Linked DNA regions of Arabidopsis thaliana. The protein of the gene in region 2 interacts with the protein of the main gene of each other region in a pairwise test. Each region holds a gene or a part of one and is shown on either strand. Other genes may lie near its edges.

Region 1 (8,044 bases), on a different chromosome or scaffold from region 2:
GTTTGGAATGCTTTCCGACTAATGTCAAAGGGTAGTGAAGCCGCATGCATTTCTGATTACCATGTAAACCAATTAGGTCAAACCCCAACTAACAGACTTGTGTTTTTGTTTACAAGAAAAATCGAACTCGGATCTAAAAGTTTTCCCTTACACCAAAACTTCTTCTACCACTAGACCATGTATGCTTGGGAACATCACCATAGTTCTACAACCCTTAAGATGATTGTGCTTCTGAATTTTCCTTCATCACCTAGCTGGACTCATTGAGACCTTTTCCAGAATTTATTATCAGAAAGAGTTTACAAGTGATCAAAATCGAATATCCAAAACCTAATATTTGAAAAACTTAGTAACTTTTTAGACAATAATTTGGGAATTTATTTGAATATGGAAATGAACTTAATATATATCTTGGAAACAAGTCAATTAACCTATCTTTCTATCTTTTCCCTTTCCTTTGAAATTGATTGGATAAGACGTTACTATAAACAAATGATTTGGCACTAAGTGCGCAAGAAGCCAAGAAGTATTTGGTTATAGAGACAATAATTTTCATAAAAAGAAAGCACTTTTTAAGGGGAAAAGATTCTTGGTTAAGAATTGAAACCTCTAATCCAATCAAAATCTAACATACACTAATTTATTGTTTAAGCCATCACCAAGAAAACCAATATCCTAATGCAAAATTTACCAATTAAGTAATGCATAATTATGTAGCTAGATTTAAATTAAGAGGACGTGGGTCAAATGTTAACCACATGTTAGGTGCATTATAAAAATCCAAAAAAGTTACATGGCTTGAATAAAACTACAATTTATAGCACCAAAGAATGGTCCTTGATTCGCTAGATCCTAAGTGACAATGACTTCCTCCAACCGGCAAGAGATGGTTCGCCCTTTGTCAACTTACAACTATTCTCTCTTTTCCTTTTTTAAGTATATATTTCCATTTATGTCGAGTCTTACGCAATTGATTTGGACAAGAAAAACTATTCTCTTATTACTAAATAAGGTTAGCTAATCCACAACCAATAGTATGTTTTGTTTCTTTGATAAACAATAGTATATGTTGTTAGCTAATTAATAGTATAAAATGAAAATATTTTAGGCCGACTTAGTTTTTAATGGATACTAGACCATTCAATATCCTATTAAGAAGAAAATTATTCAACTTTGTTCTCCTATTAAGTTGGAGAAATTTTTCGCTATTTTTTTTTTAAAGACATATAAAATATTATTCATAAATTAATATAAAAGATAATTCTTAACTACATCACAAATAAGTAAACAAGTCTTTTAACAAAAAAAAAAAAGTAATAAGTGAATACTTAATTTATAAAATTGAGTAAAAGATCATAAAACTTTATAAAGTTACGAATCTTTACAACTTTAATAATATTATTTAAGTATTTTAACAAAAGAAAACATAAGTATTATCGAAGTGTTAAAAAATCAATCATAAACAACAAAACAAAATTGTGATAGTAACTTTATATGATGTATGCGTATGAGCGTATCGTAGAGCCGACAATCAAAGTATGGACCCGAACATCTTACAAGAGATTTTGCGATTATCTGGTATAACCACGCGTCCTCGTGTGAGAGACATCAGGTGGTCCAATTTAGATTTATCGTTGTTTTATACTCTCTCTCTCTCTAGCCCAATGAGTGTTCGAAACGTTGTTGGCCGACCAAAGTCCCGTGGCTAACTGTCACGTCTCAAAATTTAACAATGTCATGTTATCAATTTTAGATGAAAGTGAAAGTGGAGCGTCGTGTTGATGATACGTTTGAATCTTGAATGGATGTCTCGTTGACTTGTTATCAGTCGACCGACTTGTGTCGCCTTAACCACGTGGGTTATATATAGGCAATGTTTCTTCTACTTTATGATCAGCTTTAAGCATGTGGGTTATATAAGCTAGTAAGTCTATATACCATGTCAACTGATTCGTTAATGTGTTTGAGAACAAGTGTTTCAAGAGAAAGAGTCAAATACTCGATATGGTTTAGTTTAAAGATGGCCATTAACGATAAATTTGAAATGGTATATAGACTTAATTACTAGCTTAAAGTGGAAAAAGTAAAGCCTATATTTTGTTGTTATTACAAAGATATAAGGCTACAATAATACTTTATTCAAAAATCAAAACACTGAAGTAGTGAAGAAGATCAAAATTGTTGTTATTACAAGTGTGAATATATTACACAAGTCACCTGAAAGTACTTTTAAAAGGAAAACAAAGTCAACATATGAACTTTTAACAAATATAATCAGAAATTATATACTGTCAAAACTTTCTACAAACGATGACTACTGACTCAACTATGGATCTGTCCTTATTTTCTTTCTTTCTTTTGGTTATACATAAAATAATTAAGAACAAACACACAAAAAATAAATAATAATAATAATATAACAATAATAAAGTCTAAAGATCATATATCATGTGAAGCTAAACGCTAAAAGCCACCTCGAAACAGAGAAAATGGATAAGGCGGTGTTGTTGGTGGATTTGACTCTACCACTCCTCCAAACGTCGCCGTTTCTTTATACCTTCTTTCTCCCTGAATACTCCCACATCCTCCTCCTCCTCCTCCGTTAACACTCTCCGGCAAAGAAAACGTCGACGTCAAAGATGATGACGTCGACGACGTTGAATTCGAGAGCATCGACTTCGCCACCAAACCCGTCTCGTAACTACCAAACTGTCCTTGCGTCATAGGAACAATCCACCCATCCGGTGAATGATTCCGGTAAAGATTCTCCGTTGATGACGGCGACGGTGTTGATGATGACATAACCCTAAAGACCCTCCCTTCATCTTCTTCCACTTCTTCTTCCTCTGACTTCACCGTCGACATCGTGACACGACGCTTCTTCTTGTCGGAAACTTGTTGTTGTTGCTTTGTCCGTTCTTTCTCGAGCATCATTCTTGGAAGAAGATCAGGATCTTCAACGACTTTGTAAAGAAACGCCATCATCTGCTCCGGTCTCTTCTCCGTCGCTTCGATCCTCCGGTTCATCCTCTGAATCTCTGCCTCTAGCTCCCTCTGCTCTTCTTTTAACCGTTCGATCTCCCTCACAATCTCACCGTCCTCCAAATCTTGACCGTACATCCCCCGCGCGTGTTTCCTACGCGCTATGTTATTCAACAAATGCTTCTGTCCCCTTAGAAAATGCTCGTTCGCAAACTCCCACCGGTCCGGATCCACTTTCCTAAACCCCTAAAGTAAATAAAGAAAGGATCATTAGTTCGTAATCCCCTGTTTCCAGTTTCATGTATGAGTTTCGGTTATGAATTAACTTACATAGGTGTTGAGTTGACGAACAAAACTGCTGAAATTGTTGTGTTTGAAATAAGCAGGTAAGATTCGTTGCGAGAAGTCGAGTGGATCAACGACTATGAAACTGTTGTGAGCAGGTCCCCAAGTGATGAGCCAATCGGTGGAAGGATCATTGACCATCTGATATGTTTTCACGATGAAAGGTGCGATCACGTTGTTGTTGTTGTTGTTGTTACTATTGTCGTCCTCCATCTCTCTCTTTCTCTGTTTTCCTTATGGTTTATATGTTTGTTGTTGGTGGTGGTAAAGAAATTAAAGAGGAGCCTGGAGGGTTTATATAAAGATAGGAAAATGAGATGTGAAAATAGTAAGTTAAGTGTAGTTGACAGTGAGACTATATTGACGTGGCTTGCTTTTTGTGATAACGTGGCGGGTTCGTGTTTTGCCTTTTACGGTGTCACGAGTGAACTGTGGGACCTATGCAGGTGTGCCTCTAAGCTTTCAGGTCTTTTTTGCCCTTTTTGTTTTGTTTATATTTTCTTATGTCACAAGTTATGTGATACATTTGAAATATATGCATATTTAGGCATTGTTTTTTCTTAATTATAATTTTAAGTCATAGATGATTTAAGCTGCTTGACTAATTCTAAGGGTAAGCTAGTCCCAATATAGAAAGCTTAGTCCATCGATTTTTCAACTGGTTTCCGATCCCGAATTAGAAGGATATCTATGATTCATTTGTAATTTCTGCACAAACAAAATTATTTGTCATGATTTCTTTCTAATTCTTGACATGATTTGTTTCTTTCACTTTTTCACAAAAGAACCTCGTCCTCTTCAAAATACTCCAAAACTCTCAAGAGTGAGAGCAACTTATAAAAAAAAAACACATTTGGTGAAACAAACAAATCTTCTACAATGAATAGAGAGGGTATAATTTAATTTATTATATTATAATTTTTCTTTAGTTTACAATTATGTTAAAAAACGTTAGAAGGAACATGCTGTGTATTCAGATTTTAACTTAAAATATCCGACTAATTTAAAATAAAAAATTGCAAACAATAACACTAAATGCCAAGTAAACATGATTTTATAGACAAACTCTTCAATCTGCAAAAGCACTCCTATTTTCTTATACATACATATCCATGGACTCTGGAATAAATAGCCACACAAGTGTTGCTACTTGCAAGAGTTATTATAGGAGTATTATTAAACAATGATTAACATAAACTACTACAAATATAATTGCTAGGTTAAGAATTAAAACCAATAAGTTCCAATAAAAAATCACACGCATCAAAGGCATTACTATTTTATAGTTTAAACCACCACCGAGAAATCCAATAGCAATCTTATATAAAATTTTCCTAATTATTAATTGGATAGATTAATGGGATTAATCTAGACTTAATTAAGGGGACGTGGGTCAAATGCTAACCACATATTACGTATGATATAATAATATAAATAGTTTGAATAAAACAACATTTATAGAATCAAAGCATGGTCCTTAATCCTTGAGAGCCTTGGAGATAATGACCTCCTCGTATAGGCGAGAGTACAGTTCTCCACTTTTCATTTTTTTAATTGTTGTCTCCTCTCTTTGTTTTTCTTAAACTATAATTTACCTTTTCAATCGAATCTTAATTACAACTTTATTTGAACAATATATATATTACTCTCATCGCCAAATGGGATTAGCTATAATCCACAAGCTATAGCTTTTGTTTGTTTAATTACGTACTATCAGTAGTACAATTTCAAAACCTAAGGACAATTTTGATTTTTATGGGATACTTGAAATTATTAGTCAAGATTGATAGGTTTAATTACTTACTACGACAAAATTTTCCAAACTAATATATGTTTTTATTAAAATTAGCGCTTTGTCAACCTACAATTAAATTTATCTATTTCGATTATTATCAGTTACATAAATTGAGAGGACGATAAAAAAGTATTTTGAGACATCTCTTCCCCACCTTATAATTTTTGTTGTCCATAGCGAAATAAAGGAGAACAAGAGATAGTGTAACAGTGAGACGGTGACGTGGTATGCTTTGTAATAACGTGGCAAATTCGTGTTTGCTTTTTACATGCAGGTGCCACAAAGCCTTAGGTCAATTAGCTTTTCTTAGATGGCAAGTTATTAGTCCGAGCCGTTGTGTATTTGTGTGAGATGTTTTCAAGAGACGACGAGCGTGTGGGTGCTTGGATACTGACATGGTCCGCACTGGTTAGTGACGGAGGAACTCAGGAACAAGTACTGATTCGACACGTTGCGTAGAATCTTTTTTGTTGGCGATGCACACTCCACTAATCGAGTATTTTTGTATTTATGGAAAGTTTATTCATTATACGTTGCTTAATTCAGGTATACGACGAACATGATTTTTCATTTTTATTATAGTGTCACACAAATATTATAGGAAACTGATGTCGTACGGATAAAATAGTTTAGTAGACGATTATACGTCACTTCATACGTAACAGGGACAAAAGCGCACCCTATAGAGAAGCAAGATTTATTAGTTTATAGATTTGTCTCCAAATTGGTTATTCGTTAATTGTTGAGAATAAGATACAATTATTTAAGTTTCATATCTCTAAACATTTATTTTGCTCATAATTAAATCTAAAATGCTGATAAGGTATTTAAGAATTTTTTTGATATTAATATGTGGGGAGAACTTGTTTTTTTTTTTGAAGATCCGTCTACTAGATATACAAATTTATTATATAAAGAAATAGTTAGAATATGAAAACATCTGTGTAAACTATTAAAAAAATAGAAATTTAACGACGAGTCTAACAGAGAAGATGATAAATGTAGACTGATATATTTAAACAATATCATTGTCGATATAATCTTTTTTTTTTTTTTTTGCAAAGATTTGTTTTCATTTATTCAAATCAAAACAAATATAAGAAGGAGTGATTCAAAGATCACAAAGTTTAAAACATAATTAAAAGAGGCATTCCCCAAAACCAAGATATGATAGATAATGTGAAACGACATAAAATTCATGAGAGCTTTGAGCCACAAACTATAAGGCATGATGGCACATGTGAGGTCACGGGTAGTCGAAGGATCTTCCACGAACGAATCAATGGACAACAAATTGGTCACTGTCAAGAGACGAGATGACGTTGAATAAGGTTCCAAGGCCGATGTTCTCGCCGACACGAGAAGGAGAAACTGGAGTTGTTCATCGCCGAGGAGGTGGGTAACGATGGGTGTAAGGTCAAGAAGGTTGAAGAAGCTTCGGTAATCATCACTCCATGGAGACGAGATCATAATGCCGTTCTTTCCCAAGCTTTGAAGATCATGAATACTAAACTTAATAATGTTGAATCGCTTTTGCTTGAATTCAGTAATCAGAGGATAGGAGTGGGAAAGGTTGAAGAAGCGTTGGTAATCACCGCTCCTTGGAGACGTGATCATAATGCCGATTTTCTTCAATCCTTTAACTACAAGGGCGTGAGGCGAAGGTTCAGTAATTATCTCAAAAAGGTTGGGAACTTCTTTGGAGATCCGAGAGATATGAGCCTTAACTCTACTGCTGATGCAGGATTGCTTGAAGGAGATACCTAAATGTGTCGGAGATATACATATGGTGGCGCTTGGGTGACAAAGATCACACCATCGACTTGTTGGAGTTGGGAACATGATACCATTATTCTTCAAACAAATAAAGCCAGTAACGAAAGTCCTAGATGAAACTAAGGGCAGGGTTCTAAGGGAGTTCTTATGCAACCATATCAACACTAGTTCATTATGGTTCGTATGATGTCCACGATCAATTGAAGCCAATAAGTGATATAGAGATTGACTAAAGATGGATAAAGAATAGTTCAGATCAGACCTGGGCTTTAGGAGAGGCAGTTTTGGATCATCTTTACTAATGGGCATTCGATACCTTAATGGGCCAAAAAGAACCAGGCCCACCAGCTGTAAACCTAATTTCCCTTCAGACAAATGAAGGTCGTGATGGTGGCGGCTGTTGTACGGAGATGACGAGAGGGAAGCGTCCATCTCCGGTGAAGGAAAGGTCGACGTTTGCTGGTTTTGGCCGTGAGGTGAGGCAGAGGAGGAGAACCAGAGGATCCTAGTCAATCCAAAAAGTGAAGTCGTATCCCAGAGAAGTGTCTCGCCGTGCGACATTGCTTGGGTTAAGATAAATGCTCGGGATAACGAGATCTCAAAGCGATAAGTTGGTGGTTCTACCATAGATTGAAAACGCAAGAGCATCGTTATAGATGACTTCCACAGAGGTGTTGCATGATGAAGGTGATAGATGGGTATCGCCAGACACCATCTTTTCCTTTTGATGTTGGTTGAAGTTCTCACCAGAAGCCAAAGGTTTGAAAGGATTCGAGATAGTTTTAAAAGAGGGGAAAAATTACTGAAAAGAGAAAGATAAGCAATGAGGCTAGACATACAAAGAAGAAACTGAACATGCGAATCGGAGAATTGACGGCGCCGGTGAGCTAGAGCTCCTCCGGCACCGGAAACCGTTGGCAGAAGAAGTCTCTCGATATTAGTGTCTAGAAGCGTTTCATGTTTTAAATTGAGTGAAATATATAAAGCTTATACCAATTTTGTTTCTCGATATAATCTTTCAAGAAGACAAATATGTAGAGGAATACTACTAAAAGATTTCATGATCCTCAAATCAAAATCAAAATTAAAAAGAGTTGTCGAATTTTTTGAGAAACATAGGTGATGGAAGAAAGAGATTTACGTATG
Region 2 (8,036 bases):
TGTAAATTTTATTCTCCAAATGACATTGAAGGGAAGAAATTTAAGTGGGCTCGCTTGATCTCCAGATCTACAAATGATCATGAGTTTTTTGTTACCTGCAAGATGATTCGAAATATCAATGTAATAAGTCCTAAGTATTATAATGGATTCTATGTTTTGGATGGAGATGAAAAACAAGAAGAAGAAACATATTAAAAATTTTCCCATCTTGGTTATTTTATTTTTCCTCATTACATAATAATATTTATACTATTCACACACACACACATATTTAATATATTTGTTAATATATTTAATTCATTATATATTTTTCCTCATATTTGTTAATATATTTAATTTCATTATATATATTCTTCTCTCATATTTGTTAAGATATTTAATTTTATTGAAAAAAATTTCTCTCATTAATCTCAAGTGTTAGTGTACCATCCACAATGAATCCAATTTATTTCTTTGGAAGCTCACCATGTCACGGAGACCCATAAAATACATATGTTTGGCTCATGAATGGATCAAATTAATAGTCAAAGGTCAAGATCAATATAAAAAATTCAAATAGTTAAGTTCAATTCACAAATTAATTAATGACCATGAATAACACGCTAAGAGAAGACAATTTTTCTCTCATCTTAGTCCACAAAAACAAGGCTATTTCAATGGATCCAAGTTTCTTCAAGGATCTTGAATCCCATTGGAATATAACAGACGGTCCTCAAGAAGGTTGCGGTATTGATTTCATTTGTCCAAAATATCTAAAGGCAATCTACACTGGAGTCACAAGTTTTTTGCACGCTCGTTCAAAATTCTAGTCACAATCTCCACTTTTTCATTTTGATGATGCATTTCAGGAATAGTTTTCTCCATTGTAATCCTATTATCAGCGCAGTATTTTATAAACTCACCGCAAATGTACTCTTTACCATTATCAGATATTAGACACTCAATTTGAGATTTATCTCAACCATACTTGTTCTTCATAAAGTAAACTTCATACTGGAGTCATCAATGAAAGTCACATAATAGTGTGATACTCCTAGCGATGCAACATAAGCAGGTTCGAACAAGTTATTTTGTACTAGCTCCAACTTCTTAGATTTCAACTTCCTACCATCACTCAAAACCTAACCCGTTTCCGCTTTCCAAGGATGCAACTTTCATACATGTAGTGATTTAATATCTTTAAATTTGGAGATTCACCATTTGTTACCATGAAATTCATACATTTCTCGCTCATATGCCTCAATCTATAATGCCACAACTCAGTTTTGTTTTAGGCATTTTCGGCAACATCAACTATATATATCTTCATAGTTAGTGGTCATATAAATAGTGTCTCTTTTATAGCTTTTTGTACCTGTCATGGAACCCTTTGTCACTATTCAAGCTCCACAACCAACATTGATATCGTGTCATGTATCATCAAATTGTCCAACAAAAAATAGATTTCACATCACTTTCGGACATGTCTAACCTTTGTGATTTTCCATACAAGCTCATCTGACATCTTCAGGTTAATGTCTTCAACACCAACAATGTCCAAAGATAATCCATCTACTAGAGATATCTTCTCATAATTTTGGGCAACATAGTTCTCCATTATGTCCTAGGGAGCATTAGTGTGGAAAGAGGCTCCTGAATCAAGAATCCAAGAATCGATCTGACTATAAGCTGAAGAGATCGATGCTTCTCGCAGTGCGATCAACAACCGCAACATGAGCTTGACTTCCTCTTGGAGAATTATACTACCAATGCATTATGCATCAATTATTACTTTTGTACAATTCCACAATTCTCTAATTATTCTCGAGAAACGACAACACGTAATTCATAATTAATGTTATAACCTAGTTTTTTCTTAAAGTGCCATAATATATTATGTAGAACGTGAAGGAAATTAAGGTCGATGCGTACTAAAATAAGACCATCCTTTACGTAAAATTTTACCACTTAAATTATTTATGTAAATAAGTGAAAGTTTCATTTTCTTTTTTAAGTAACTGTACCTTTCGAATACCTAACGCCTACGACAAACTATTTTAATTATATAACAGCTTAGAATTAATGTCGAAGAACATTTCATGTGTCTATACAAAACATATACACATTCATGTCCCTTAACCATTTAGATATTTTCCCAAAAAAAAAGAAAAGAAAAAAAAAACCATTTAGATACACAATTATTGATCCCTAAACCCCACACAATTTCAGTCTAAACTAAAATATTTAGTAGCTAGATGGATATAGAGACAGGTAACTTCAAACCACCACATCGATTAGTTATTAGATTATCTACTCGGAAATAAAGTATACAGTATATCTCCACCGACATTCTCATAGTCTAACTAATGCCTAAATTTTCATGTTATTCCTTCCTTCCACAAAGAGTCTTTTTGAACTCTTAATTTTTGTATAATGTGTTTTAAAGGTAAGACTTATATTTCACAAAAATTAATTAGTATATCAAATAGAGTCCATCCTACAATCCTACAGTATAGATATATGTTATACAATTAGCTAGAAATGTATTTAATGTTTTACAAAAAAAAAATATAGGGAAATTAGGATTTTCTTCTATACAAATTGTTGGTTTTCCATGTGAGAGGATTGTGAGAAGTGAGCTGGACATTGTACAAATTGGGAATATATAAATACACCCACCCAATACGCATATACTATGCTATGTTTGGGTGGACCATTAACTGATGATTTTAAAAAGATAAAAATAAGTTAAAGAAAAGTTTTATTTTATTTCTTGAAAAAGATTGATTAAATTAGGAGGCAAAAGGAGCTCTATGAGGAATGCCTTTTCGTCGCCTAGAATTAGAGGTATGAGTTGGAGGATGCGTGCCTTTGTGCGTTTCTTGTTGTCTTTCTTTACGCAATCTTTCTTCTTCCTCTTCCTTATTCTTCCTCATTCCTTCAACCTGACATTTTTATTATGATCACATCATACATTTCCGTTATGCAAATGTACCATATACTTTTTTTTTGAGCAAAATGTACCATATACATATATACAAACATCTAACCTCGTATATATTTTCTTAAGATACATTATATGAGGCAAACAACATGTATTAAGCGAGTTTGAATATAGTTGATTCAATGAATTTACCATACAAGTAACTAAACATTATACGGTGTATCCTTAAACCGATTCCTCATTTTATATCGGACAAATAAATGCGAAGATATTAGTAATAATGATGAAAATATGATAAACCAATTTTGTTGGTCCAGTTGTAAAGTGCTCGTTAGATAGATTGACTTATAACTATGCATTCGTTTTTCTATGATATGAAGTTTACAGGTTTTTGCTCATGATTTATCCATCCAGCTACAAAAAGGAATTTTGCATTGAGAAAAGGTGTAGGAAAACGAACCTTGCAACCCAAGGAACAGAAGCGAAAGGGATCAAGAAGGGTTCTGCAACATGTCTCACAGAAGTAGGACATGGTTTTCGGAGTGGAGGAGGCGGCACCATGGGAGGAGTTCTTAGGCTGAGGTCTCTCGTTTAAGAAGAGAACCCTCGCGCTATTGATGACATAAGTTTGCACTCCTCTTATGTCCAATGCATTCTCTATCTCCGATACTCTCACCACATCATGATACGACGATCTTCTTATCTGTCTCAATGTTAATGATAAAGAATTGGATTGAGTCAAAAGTGATATATATATATATGTGTATGCATTGTGTGTTGAGAAAATGAAGGACCTGAAGGACGGGATGATCAATGTGAAAGGAGGAGCGGCAGTAGAAGCAAAACGCAGCGTTTTGACAGGAGAGACAGAACATGTTGCACTCATTTCGCGGTGTCTCGCGATGTCGAGGGCAAATGCTGAAGAAGTTTGTTCTTAAGAGACCTTCGAGCCATTTCGGCTCCTCCATTAATCTCTCTCCTGTTTTGTTTTTCTTAGACAATAATTACAATATATACAAAAAGGGAAGAGCGAGACAAAACCTTATGAACAATGTAATAAATTACGAAGAACATGCTCTTGCCATTTGCATTACCTTTATGAAGATGATCAGTAGAGGGAGAGAGAAAGGGTATTAGATGATTGATTTTTGAGACAAGAGGAGGAAAAATCAGATTTTAAGGGTAAGAGAGAAAGGAAGATATAAATTTTATTTTATTGTTGATAAATGAAGATTTTATGTTTTTTTCTTCTTATTTAGGATTGGTAGATATCTTTTCAATTCTTCTCTTAATTATTAAATATTTATTGTTAATAGTTTATTGGGGGAGGAAAGGGAAAGGATATATAATTAGATATGATGTTTGGTTAAGGTTGATTCCTAACCGTTGGATGAGGCCATTGAGTAAATGAGTTTGATGACAAAATTACAAGCTAATTAAATGTGTATATAGATCAAAATTTGTTCCAACTTTGACTACAAAAATAACCAAAATATTAAATGATAATACTTTAAATTTAATATATATATATATGAAAATAATTAAATTCAAAAAATGTTTCTAAAATATATTTAATTAACATTTATGATTTGAATAATAGATTTCTCGAACTATTGAAACGTGTACATCCAAAAGAAACACACATTATCAACATATGTCAAATTAAAGAGATCAAAATTTGTTCCAACTTGGAATTTAATTATAACCAAAAAATTATAATGGTAATACTCTAATTTTGACATATCTATATCAATAAATGAAGAAGAATATATATATATATATATATATATATATACATATATAATTTATGGTTTACCTAAGAAATTCTTCAAACTATTGAAACGTGTACGTCCAAAAGAAACATACATAAATTATCAATATTTTCCACTTGGTATTAATCTTTTGGTTTGTAAGGTTGATCTTTTTGTTCGAGCCAACATTAAACTACATTAGATGGAATGTTGGCTCGAACAACCACATTATTCAACTTAGTTTAAAGAGTTTCAAACACTGTTTATCCCCTCATGCAAAATTTGAATCTCTTTTCTAGGTGATGACATTCCTCATTTCACTATCTTTAACCGATACTGCTTTTGAGAAAGATTACAAGGAGTTAACTCGGCTGATGACGGCCACGTCTGATGAGTGGTCTGGTCTGTCAAAGGGTAAATTTGTCTATCATTAGCATGGTGTAGAGAGAACCTTCTAATGTAAATCTTTGACTCTTTGTAGTGTCAATTGTAAAATTGTATATGAAATCCCTCATCAAGTAAAACTGCATGAATGATTTGTTAGTTGAGAAGATCGATCATTTGGAACAAAATAAAAATAAATTAAAATATTACAGACAAAAAAAAATATTACAAACACGTAAACTAAAGTTCACACTAATCGGTGGACCTCAAATATGATGGGGGAAAATGCCCGCTAATTACTCTTTAGGGAGGGTGCTAGCCTACGTGGTTGGGCGTGCCGTTTTGAGATGGAGAGCATCCGATCAGGACCAGTGTGTCAGTGATTGAGTTTGGAGCCCATTTCTTCTTATTCCTTTTGAGTTAGTTGATATTTCCCTAAGTGACTTTTTCTATTGGGCATTCTAATGGACCTGGTTTTGAACCTTTTTTGCCTTCAGTTTAGTATGCTTTTATTAGGTTAGGCGTTCGGGTATTCACATATAGAGTATAGATTGATTGGTTCTATATATGCGAAAAAAAATTAACTGACAAAAAAAATTATGCGATGTCTTGTGCTCGAAATAAAGAATAACAATTAGAAAATACGAATCTAGGGTTCAATCCATGGATAATTACTTGGAAAAATCCTTTACCTTGTAGAAATTGACATGCTATTTTATACAAAAAGAAACATAAGATGTCAATTTCTTTGTGTATAAAACATGCAAGAAAATTATTTGTTATAAAAAATATAGAAAATGTGAATTCAGATGGGTTTGAATGTGTTTTGGCCTGTCACCTTTTTCGTATGCTAACTTAATTTTTTTTTTAATTTGTTTTTATAAAACAAATATGGTTATAGTTAGCCTAATTAATTATAGTTGCGTCGTTATTATTATTATTATTTAGTAACAACATAATTTAAAATCGGAATGTTTTGTGTGAATAGATATACTATCTTGGAATTGAAAACTTTTATCAAACTTCTGACATGAAAGCTAAGTTTGGCCATGTACGTATGAGTTAAGATATTAAATTGCCTGAATATTCAGATGTACTTTTTTGAAATTTTATTTTCCTCTTATCTGTTTTTTAGCTCAAGAAAGTGACGCAATACTGATAGCCAACATGTGGAGTAGTTGTTGCATCGACCTTACGTTAATTCCCCGAATAGCTAAATATCAAATTGCTTTATCATCTCTTACTATTTGAGAATAAATTCAGTTACGGTATTTATTAAAAAGGATAACGGACTTACGCATGAATCTATTCGTAATCAATGAGTGGAAACCACTTTTTTGGTGTCATAGTTGCATTCGTGCCGGCCGCATCATCTAAGAAGCAAACCAAGGAGATTGTTTTTACTACTACGTTGCTCTTGCTGTCTTGCAAAAGATCAACAAGTAAATATCCACCCATAAACTCAGGCCCGATATCCAAAATCCAGTATAGACACTAGGCAGAACACTATAAGTAGCAATCTACACTTCATAGACAAAAAAGGCTAATCAAACCTAGTTTCGTCTTAAGAAAAGTAATAATCTAAAACAACACTCGCTCAAAAACAATAAATAACATAATTTACGTGATGTTCTTCTGTTTCCCTCAAATCGAATGAATCCATTTTTCCTTGAGTGGTGGAGGTTCATCGGAAATAACCATACCGATATTTTTCATGACCACAATACTTTATTCCGTCGTACACGTTTATCTACGATCTAGCAATCAATCTACGAAGCCAAGAAACAAGAACAGAATGTGGATGACCAAAATTTTGTGCTACAAAAAAAATTATCCAAAAATATCACAACCTATTGCTGTCAGAAAAACAAAACAAAAATATTAATGTTCTCTTATGGAAGAAAATATTTCTTTTACTTTTTGGTTAATAATTACAGTAAGAATTTAGCTGACATTCTATCTTTACTAGTGAATTTTCATTATATAATATATAGTATATATATACCAAATAAGGTTGAACCAATAGCATTGACTTAATGACTTGACACTCCATAATATATTGCTTCCTATAGTGTCTTTATCCCTCTCAAATTTTCTTTTCTCTCTCCCTCTCCCACAATCACAAGATAGGAAAATTGATCCACAAAGAATCGTCTGAATGAAGACAACAGTTGTTTATCTGGTGATTCTATGTCTCATTGTTTCATGTACCAATGGAGAAACCAAACATGTAAGAAAAATTAACTCCGATGGATCCGAAGCTTGGGGATACGTCGAAGTTAGACCAAGTACGTTCTTTATCTCTCTTTCTTCTACCAAAATTTTCAAGAAATCAATTGGTTTATGTTAGATATGACTAAATGGGTTTTGTTTTGACTCTTTTTTCTAAATCAAAATCGTGAAAATAGAAGCACACATGTTTTGGTGGCATTATAAAAGTCCATATAGAGTTGAAAATCCTTCCAAGCCATGGCCTATCATCCTCTGGCTCCAAGGTGGACCTGTAAGTTTTTATCTTCTTTTATTTTACATCTTATTCGTCTTTTTACACATTTGTTGTTTATTGATCATTAATGTTTTCAATTATTTGGTTTTGATGAAACAGGGAGCTTCAGGGGTTGGTATAGGGAATTTTCAGGAGGTTGGACCATTAGACACATTTCTCAAGCCCAGAAACTCAACTTGGTTGAAGAAAGCCGATCTTTTGTTTGTGGTATTTTTTTCGTTTTCATGTTTACTTTTATTTCCACCAATATTATTATTAACAAAAAAAAAACAATAATACTATCATTCTTCTTTGATATAGAGTAAAACAAAATTTTGTTTTCAAAAGTGTGTAATTAATTACTTTTACGTGGTATCTAATTTGATCAGTCTTTAAGCTTACTCACATATGTTAAGTTTTTAATCGATTATATATATATTTTTCTTGAAAATAAAGGATAGTCCAGTTGGGGCAGGGTACAGTTTCGTGGAGG

What was found. Proteins that work in one complex are often made in the same cells at the same time.
Region 1: the proteins of AT2G27930 (region 2) and HSFC1 interact in a two-hybrid assay, tested with the Arabidopsis thaliana proteins (one large-scale study listed by BioGRID).

What each region holds. Positions count from the first base shown.
Region 1 is NC_003074.8:8,936,951-8,944,994, reverse strand, and holds HSFC1 (heat shock transcription factor C1), read right to left. Parts: upstream 3,930-8,044; 5' UTR 3,541-3,929; coding exon 3,313-3,540; intron 3,284-3,312; exon of another isoform or gene 3,229-3,283; coding exon 2,464-3,228; 3' UTR 2,121-2,463; downstream 1-2,120. Other genes in the region: AT3G24517 (uncharacterized protein), read left to right, coding at 6,354-6,443, 6,488-6,889; AT3G24516 (uncharacterized protein), read left to right, coding at 7,219-7,407; AT3G24514 (uncharacterized protein), read right to left, coding at 6,046-6,071, 7,523-7,613. UniProt on the Arabidopsis thaliana protein: Transcriptional regulator that specifically binds DNA sequence 5'-AGAAnnTTCT-3' known as heat shock promoter elements (HSE).
Region 2 is NC_003071.7:11,888,224-11,896,259, reverse strand, and holds AT2G27930 (PLATZ transcription factor family protein), read right to left. Parts: upstream 4,164-8,036; 5' UTR 4,018-4,163; exon of another isoform or gene 3,903-4,017; 5' UTR 3,892-3,902; coding exon of another isoform or gene 3,810-3,891; coding exon 3,384-3,809; coding exon of another isoform or gene 3,291-3,383; exon of another isoform or gene 2,925-3,290; coding exon 2,772-2,924; 3' UTR 2,532-2,771; downstream 1-2,531. Other genes in the region: SCPL51 (serine carboxypeptidase-like 51), read left to right, coding at 7,217-7,346, 7,467-7,561, 7,664-7,771, 8,000-8,036.